Tribolium castaneum: one gene and its partner. The protein of the gene in region 1 purifies or fractionates together with the protein of each later gene. This does not show direct contact. Links are inferred from orthologs where the notes say so. Each region holds a gene or a part of one and is shown in the gene's direction. Other genes may lie near its edges. The genes, in order: trp and norpA.

Evidence for each region.
Region 2: the proteins of trp (region 1) and norpA purify together in Drosophila melanogaster (affinity purification with western blotting; 3 studies listed by BioGRID). This does not show direct contact. The link is inferred for Tribolium castaneum from reciprocal best matches to the Drosophila melanogaster genes trp and norpA.

Annotation. Positions count from the first base shown.
Region 1 is NC_087402.1:543,099-547,661, reverse strand, and holds the start of trp (transient receptor potential protein), read left to right. Parts: upstream 1-1,652; 5' UTR 1,653-1,717; coding exon 1,718-1,815; intron 1,816-2,118; coding exon 2,119-2,269; intron 2,270-2,324; coding exon 2,325-2,563; intron 2,564-4,041; coding exon 4,042-4,243; intron 4,244-4,290; coding exon 4,291-4,505; intron 4,506-4,563. Other genes in the region: trpl (transient-receptor-potential-like protein), read right to left, coding at 447-627, 675-817, 868-1,105, 1,167-1,291, 1,336-1,347. UniProt on the Drosophila melanogaster protein: A light-sensitive calcium channel that is required for inositide-mediated Ca(2+) entry in the retina during phospholipase C (PLC)-mediated phototransduction.
Region 2 is NC_087402.1:4,187,739-4,192,082, forward strand, and holds the start of norpA (1-phosphatidylinositol 4,5-bisphosphate phosphodiesterase), read left to right. Parts: upstream 1-1,518; 5' UTR 1,519-1,665; coding exon 1,666-1,830; intron 1,831-1,876; coding exon 1,877-2,074; intron 2,075-2,159; coding exon of another isoform or gene 2,160-2,239; intron 2,240-2,358; coding exon 2,359-2,438; intron 2,439-2,529; coding exon 2,530-2,769; intron 2,770-2,818; coding exon 2,819-3,222; intron 3,223-3,271; coding exon 3,272-3,702; intron 3,703-3,749; coding exon 3,750-3,900; intron 3,901-3,947; coding exon 3,948-4,344. Other genes in the region: uncharacterized protein LOC103312731, read left to right, coding at 1-329. UniProt on the Drosophila melanogaster protein: The production of the second messenger molecules diacylglycerol (DAG) and inositol 1,4,5-trisphosphate (IP3) is mediated by activated phosphatidylinositol-specific phospholipase C enzymes. Essential component of the phototransduction pathway.

The DNA of each region.
Region 1 (4,563 bases):
AGTCCATAAAAGAATGATAGAACGAGTTAAAAAATTTTTTTTCACCATGAAGGTAAGTGTATAACTCAGGAAATTTTAAGCAAAAAAATTCAAAATTTTAAATCTCGTGAAAAGTTGGTATAATACAGAAAATGAGCCGCTGAATTCATTGGAACAAACCGCATAGCTCTACGACTTTTAGTTTTTGAGTTATGAATTTTTTTATTGAATAAAATTTTTCATTATAGAAATTGCCTATTTTAATTTTTTGCAAAAAATTTTAAAATGTCAGATCTCGTTGAAAGTTGGTTTTATACAGAAAATGAGCCGCTGAATTCAATGGAACAAACCGCATTGCTCTTTTAGTTTTTGAGTTATGAATTTTTTTATTCTAAAACTTTTAGTCTAAGTTTTATAGTTCCGGAGTTATTGCATGATGAATGAATAAAAATTGTCTATCTACTTACCGGTTCAGCAAACGCCAGATTCCTCAATTCCCACGACAATTGAAACGCTGTTAAAATCGGATCACTTGACGAAAGTGCAATCAAAGACGGACTTGCCAGAGCTTTGTACTCGTTTAGTCTCGCTAACGAGTGTCGTAAATAATCCTCTTCAGATTCTTTGATACATTCATCACATCCACATCTACGATTTTTAGTTATTTTTATTTATTTTTTTATTTATGGTCGTACTTGATATCATGTGGCATCGGAATAGTCGCTCCTCTGTCTAACAAAATTTTCAAAATTTCGTAATTATTTCGATGGGCGGCCAAAGTCAAGGGAGTGATATCAGGTGTGAACATGGCAGTGTTGATGTCAACTTTTTGCCAACTCTGCAAAATATTTGCTCAAATGAAGCAAAATAAAGTTAACAAAAACTTACATAAGGCTCCCCATCTTTGTGGATCAACTCCTCGTGTTCCAACAAAAGCTCAACAGCTTCCACAAACTCTACGTGAATAGCATGCAGAAGAGCATCTCTAGTTTCCACTCCCATGATCACCAGGAGTTCCACCATTTCGAGATGCTCTTGGTCGATGGCAATCGATAAAGCACCACGTCCTAGACTATCCACACAATTAATATCAAACGATTTTTTCCGGTGGGCTTTTTGCAACATTCTGGAAGAAATAATCGTGTTACTTATTAAATTGTGTTGGTGGTTATTATTTATTCCATTACCGGCGAACATTTGCCATGTCTCCACGTTCAATGGCCAATAAATATTTTTTTTCTTCAATTGAAAGTGACTTGGGCAAGTTGGGCATGATTAGGGTCTTGCGTGTGACTTTAGCCTCAACATCAACCTATCACAAGACAATTAATTAGGGGAAAATTTAATGAAACTTACCGAATCCCCCATTTTGCACAAATTTAGGCGATCACATTACTCTCTAGAAAAATAGGGCGAGTAATAAGTTAGTAATAATCTTGTAAGCGCTTATAACTATGGTCTAATCACATTATTGTCTTTATTAAATTAGATTACACCAAACGAGTGCATTACACTAACCGACTTTTTGGTAAAATTACTATTGGTTTAAATGCAATAAAGCAACTAAGAAAATTGATTGCGCCAATAAGGAATTTTTGGTGATTTTTTCCAACTCAAAACTCCTATTATATAACGCTCCTGGGAGTAATCCTCTTGGCTTTGTCCCGCATTTTAATTCAATTAATAGTGAGGGTCAATACAAACTTGAAAGTATTCTCGATGCGACAAGTGATTGAAAATGTTTGGATCTGATTGTAATAATGAAAGGGCGTTAAGTCAGGTGGAAAAATCGTTTTTGCTTCATGCCGAAAGGGGTGATTGTGCTACAGTTCGCAGGTAATTTTTTATAGCATATTTCATTGTCAGTTGTTTTGAGTGGGTAAAATTGCACTTTAACAAGGGTAGATAAAATATTATTTTAACACTAATTTTTTTCTATTAAATTACTTATTGAAAAAATGTAGTATACATGACAATAAAGATGGTTGATGGTCTTTTAATTAATTATAATTTCAGTTTTCCATTTTTTTTGTTTTTTCTTTGCTGTTTTAGAGTTTTTTAATTTTGTTTTTGTATTCCATTTTCTAAGTTTTTTGCTTTTAAAAATAAACAAGAAATTAATTGCGAAAAAAATAATAGGATAATTGAGGAATATGGTGGTGGTGAGGGCGATCAAGAGTTTGATATAAACTGCATCGATGCTCTAAATCGCTCAGCGTTCGTTATAGCAATTGAGAATGGAAATATCGAGCTGGTGAAGCTTCTCCTTGAGTCGCAGATTGACGTTAAAGTAATCGCAAGTAATAATAAGTTTTATTTTTAGTGCTGCGAAATTTTAATTGCAGGATGGATTGCTTCATGCAATAAATGAGGAATTTGTGGAAGCGGTTGAAATGCTTTTAGATTGGGAGGAGAGGACGCATCAAGTTGGCGATTTGTACAGTTGGGAAAAAGTCGAACGGTGTTCGGCCACTTTTACACCTGATATTACACCTCTGGTCTTAGCCGGGCATAAAAATAATTACGAGATTATTAAGCTGTTGCTGGATAGAGGAGCCACTCTTCCATTGCCTCACGATGTCAAGTAATTAAATTGAAAAATGAAAAATTACACTATTTAGGTCGAAATTTCTGATTTTTTGACTAGAAAAATGTGCTTAATTTCGACTTAATTTGGTGTTTTTTTTGGTAATTCTCTTAGTCTGTTTTGCGCAAAATGAGAGATTGTACAAGAACAAGTTTAAACCGAGGAGCCGTTTTCAAGTGCATAAAACTTTGCTTTAGTGATTTAAAAAAACTGCAACCGCAATGCTCTACGACTTTTAGTTTTTTTTTTATGAATTTTTTTAGTGAAAAACTTTGATCGCTTCTGTAGCCAGAACCGTTGCCCGGAGGGGCTCCGGGTTTGGTCGAAAAAATAAATAAAATTAAGCGCTATCAGATGGTTTTTTGCTCGTTGCTCTAAGTCTTACAGTTTCCGAGAAAAACGCAAAAAATGTTTCTATTTTCACTTTTTTTCAATTTTCAACCGCCAATTACGGCCAAACTATTAGAGTTATCGAAAAACGGAAAAATCGTGGACAACCGGAATAAAAAACTCTACAAAATGGCATAGGACTCAAGGCGATATCTCGCAAAAAAATTCAATTTTCATACGCCGATTACGGCCAAACTAAAAGAACTAGGAGAAAACGCTTTTTTCCATCAGAAAGAGCACATCAAAATCTATAAGATAGAATAGGTTTTATTTGACTTTGAGACATTTTTAAAATTGACCGATTTTAAGGGGGGGGTGTTAACTTTTTTTTAATTTTTTTATTTTCTCATTTACGGTTAAACTATTTTAAAATGTGGAACTATTTTGATCCATATCTATGCAAAATGATCCGGGGAATCGATTGGCATCGAGAAAATTACCAAATTCCGAATAGTTTTTTAGTTATGAATTTTTTAAAATTTCACCAATTTTTGCATTTGTCAGCAATTTGCTCGAAAACTATAAGTCAGAGAACATTAATCTTTTTTGAAAAAAATAGATAATCTAAAGAGCTTTCCAACGATAATACACTTCATGGGATTATCTCTGATAGTTCCGGAGCTATTGCTCGACACATGTTCCGGGTACCCAAAATCGACAAAAATTACGACGAAAATTGAAAAAATCAAACATAAAAAAATCGAATATTTCACTTTTTGTGGACTTTTAACAACTCTAGAGGGATGTAAAAGCATATAAAAGTCCAAAAAACTATAATAGGACAAGTTTAAAAAAAAATAATTTTTCCACCTTTTTGAAGGTAAGTAAGTGTATTAAGCAAATTTTAAGCAAAATAATTCAAAATTTTAAATCTCGTGAAAAGTTAGTATAATACAGAAAATGAGCCGCTGAATTCACTGGAACAAACCGTTTTGCTCTACGGCTTTTAGTTTTTGATTTATGAATTTTTTTGTTGAATTGTTTTTGTTTTCTTCTCAACTTTTTAAAATTTGTACAATTAATTCGGCCTCTCGGTTCAAACGTTCGAAAATTTTTTTTAATTTTTTTCCTGATTAATTTTTAAGATGTGGTTGTGACGAATGCGTTTGCTCAAACCAAAGTGACTCTTTACGACATTCTCAAGCTCGGATCAACTCCTACAAAGCTCTAACATCCCCTTCACTCATTTCCCTCTCATCCACTGACCCTCTATTTACTGCTTTCGAACTTTCGGGCGACTTGAGACGTCTCAGTCGACTAGAAACCGAATTTCGAGCCGAATATAACGTAAGTTATTTTTTTTCTAAACCCAACTTCACCTCACTCACTTGTAGAACATGCGAACTGTTGTGGAAAATTTCGCAGCTTTGCTCCTAGACCATGTAAAAACCTCAGAAGAATTAATGATTCTGTTGAACTACGACGAAAAAAATCCTTCATGGGTTTTGGGCGAACAACAAACTTTGGGACGCTTAAAACTCGCCATAAAATTTAAACAGAAAAAATTCGTGGCACATCCCAATGTCCAACAAATCTTAGGCACAATCTGGTACCAAACAGTAGATATTTGAAAATTTGAAACGTTTTTACTACAGGGTGATTCAGAA
Region 2 (4,344 bases), about 3.6 Mb from region 1:
GCGATTCCGCAAAAGTAACACCGGGAAACACCTATAACCAGGCCGCTACAGGCACTCCTGTCAGGAATCAAACGGCGAAAAGTGCCCAGAAACCGTTCTATAGTATGATTGTGAATGAAACGGCCCCTTCGACCACCCAAAAATCAAAAACTAAACCACCCTATTACACCTTTAATCATATGAATGCAAGTATGGCTGGTAAAACTCTAGTCGGGGATAAAACCTTGGTAGAAATGCCCCCTTATGGGTTTAAGAACGTTGGCTCGATAGGTGGGTCAGGGAAGAAACAACCCAAATTGGGCACAAAGCGACTTAATAAAACAAAATAAATTATTTTGGAACCAAATATGAACGTGTAATGTGTTTCTTGTTATGTAATTCGGTTAATAAAGCGTCTCAAAAGGATTAAAGTGCGCTATTATTGATTTATTGCTAATTAAATTACGGAGGATATAATAATAGACGAGTCAAGAAAACGTTTTATCGGCTTGGTTACAGTAATGACAGACGGTTCTGCGAGGCAGGGCGGTAAGACTTTTTATTTTTACAAAAATAATATATATAATATATATTATATTATTATATAATTAGAACATTAATTTTTCATTTATTTCTATTATTGCAAAAAGAGACTCCAGTTTCCTTATTGAAACTGCTTATTCTGCGGTTTTGTCAAATTCTGGCAATTTTGGCCCCCTGCGTAAGCCACTGTTCCGCTACCTCCTGCCAAATACAAAATTCGGAAGTAAAATTACCGTTGGGGGCGCCACTGAGCTAGGTCGAAAACAGTAACCATAAATGGCGGGAAAATGTTTATTCGGATATTTTGAGCGTTGTACGAATTTTGGGGCTTCACAATTATTGCATTGTCTATGCGAAATGATTATTGTATCTTTGATGCAAAGAAATTTATGTTGACAAATGAGAGATGACGAGGAAAACACGAATAACGAATGACTTTTTGGTTCACTTTCTTTATTGGAAAATTACTACAAAGACATTGAAAAGCCTACCTTTTGGCATAATTTACGTTTAAATGTATCAGCAGTTGTTAATCTTTATTGTAGTTTTGTAGATTTACCGCAGTATTTCATGATTTTTTCAGTGGAAAATTCTAACCTAAAATACACACACTTCACTAATTTATTGGTTTCTTAAGCCAAACTATGTGTTCACTGTGATCCATTACTTATAATCTTTAATTAGACAACTGTTTGATAACACTTTGTAATCAAAATTTAAATATTTTTCACTTTTTATCCACTTTCAAGTTCCAACAATAAACACTTTATACCGCGAAAAACTACAGAACCAAAGTCAACGCTAGTATTTACCACCACGTACTTTTAAAGTGATTCTTTCTATTGTAAGTAATTAACACTATACACGCAAAATTGTTGAACAATTCATTAAATGTCAGTTAAATGTGGAATTTTTACTGTTTTCGACAGAGTTCAAAAGTCATCACCAGAGGGCGTCTAGTTAATTTTATTTCTGAATTGCCGCGCTCGCTTATTGACGTCTGACGTAACATTTGACGTAAATGTCAAATAAATAAACATGTCCCTTGCACAAAGATGAGTTTTTCGTGCTCGCCGCTTAACGTTTTTACTTTTCGTTGAACTAGCCATGAATATCGTCTAATTGTCTTGCATCTAGCCGATCATGACGAAAAAATTCGAGTTCGATTGGCATGTCCCCGTGCCGGAGCCCCTGCTCACGGGCTGCGTCGTGGACAGGTGGTCGGAGGAGCCCAACGAAATCGAATGGAAAGCCCTTTTCCGGGTGGACGAGTACGGATTTTTCATCTATTGGAAGAGCGAGGGAAAGGTGAGGTGGCGGGTTTGTGTGGAGGCGGGTTCATGGGGCTGTTTAGGAGGGCGACGTCATCGAACTGTGCCAAGTGAGCGATGTGAGGGCCGGTGGGCTGCCCAAAGACCTCAAACTGTTCAGCCAGCTCGAAAGCCGACACGGGCCCGATCTTGAGAAGAGATCGCTGACCATCTGTAGCGGGACCGACTATATCAACATTAATTACCAGCACATCGTGTGCCCCAATGCCGAGACGGCAAAGGTGGGTTTTGCCTCCTCCCTTAATGTAAAAAAATCAATAAATTTGGCCACGTTGATTTTTCGAAATTAAAATTTTGCAATGTTAGGTTTGGTTGGACGGTTTGCGAAAGATAACACATAACGTGAAAGCCAATAACTTCTGTCCGATGACGTGTTTGAAAAAACAGTAAGTTTCCGCATTTAGGGAAAAACTTGCGCATGTGAATGTCTGCACTAACTTCTGCATGTTTTCGTTGCGGCGACACTTGATTGTTTATAAATTTGTTTTTTGCATGGCTTCTGCAGATCTGGCAGCAAGGTTTGAGGAGCATTACTCACAACAATAAAGTTGTTAACGTTTGCCCGAGAACTGCCTTGATGAAACAGTGAGTTTTTGTACATAGTTTCTTGGGGACGTAGCTAGTGTTGCTTGCATACAATTTTTTTGAAACAATTGGCACAAGTGATTTTTTCCAGTTGGATGCGACTCGGTTTTCTGACCGATGCCAAGGGTAAAGTGCCCGTCAAAGTCGTAGCGCGTACTTTCGCCTCCGGCAAAAGTACAGAAAAGTTGGTTTATCAGTGTTTGGCCGACTTGGATCTACCGAACGGCAAAAACGCAGTCATGGAGCCCGAGCAATTCACCTTCGAGAAATTCTACACTTTGTATCACAAAATCTGCCCTCGGAACGACATCGAGGAGCTCTTCCGCAGCATGTAATGCGCTCCTATCACGGAAACTATATTCCAATTTTGTAAATTCTAGTACGCAAGGCAAAGCCGACTATATGAATCTCGAGCAGTTTATTAATTTCCTCAACGAGAAACAGCGAGACCCGCGTTTGAACGAAATTTTGTACCCACATTATGACGCGAAACGAGCGTCCGAAATAATTGCCACTTATGAACAAGACGAGGAGGCGAAGGCAGCAAATAGGTTGACAAAAGACGGTCTGATTAGGTATTTAATGTCGGACGAAAACGCTCCGGTGTTTTTGGACCGTTTGGACATCTACATGGATATGGACCAGCCTCTATGCGCCTACTATATAAATTCTAGTCACAATACGTATTTAAGTGGCCGCCAGTTTGGCGGTAGGTCTTCCGTTGAAATGTACAGACAAGTATTGCTGGCGGGGTGTCGCTGCGTCGAACTCGACTGTTGGGACGGTAAGTAATACAGCGTGTCCAAAAAAATGGGCAATAGCAAAATATTTAGGCCGAGGCGAAGACGAGGAGCCGATCATAACCCACGGACGCGCCATGTGCACGGACATCCTCTTCAAAGACGTAATCTACGCAATCCGAGACACCGCTTTCGTAACATCCGACTATCCCGTAATCCTCTCCTTTGAGAACCACTGCTGCAAAAGCCAACAGTACAAGCTCGCGAAATATTGCGACGAAATCTTGGGCGATTTGCTCCTCAAAGAACCACTTCCTGACTATCCCCTTGAACCAGGCCTCCCGTTACCGCCACCTTCATGCCTCAAGCGTAAAATTTTAATCAAGAATAAGAGACTCAAACCAGAGGTGGAGAAACAAGAACTGGAGTTGTTCAGACAGGGGGAGTTCGTTATCGAAGATGAGGAAAAAGAGGATGCGAGTGCGTCCGCAGACCGGCCTATACCACCGGATATTTCGGCTGAAGTAAGTTGGGAAAATTCTGTATGCAACTCGTGCAAAGTATGATTTAGACACCGGCGCCCGATGGGGGGGCTGGTGACGGGGACATCGCAGCGCCGCCTATAATACACACGGGGTCGACTACTAATGTGCATCCGTGGTTGAGTTCGATGGTTAATTATGCCCAACCTGTCAAATTCACTAGTTTTGATTATGCGGAAGGTACTATCAATTTTAATTATCAACTTTTTCTGATTTTATTCATTTAGAGAAAAACATACATTACAACATGTCAAGTTTTTCGGAACCTGTCGGCTTGAATTTGCTCAAGACTCAGGCGATTGAGTTCGTCAATTACAACAAACGCCAAATGTCGCGCATTTACCCGAGCGGCGCTCGGGCCAACTCGTCGAACTATATGCCGCAGGTTTTCTGGAATGCTGGTTGTCAAATGGTCTCTTTAAATTTCCAAACTTCCGATCTTCCCATGCAACTCAATCAAGGCAAATTTGAGTACAACGGCAACTGTGGTTATTTATTAAAACCGGATTTTATGCGACGTCCCGACCGGACTTTCGATCCGTTCGCTGAAAGTCCAGTAGATGGCGTTATTGCGGCCCAATGTTCGGTCCAGGTGATCGCTGGGCAGTTCTTGTCCGACAAAAA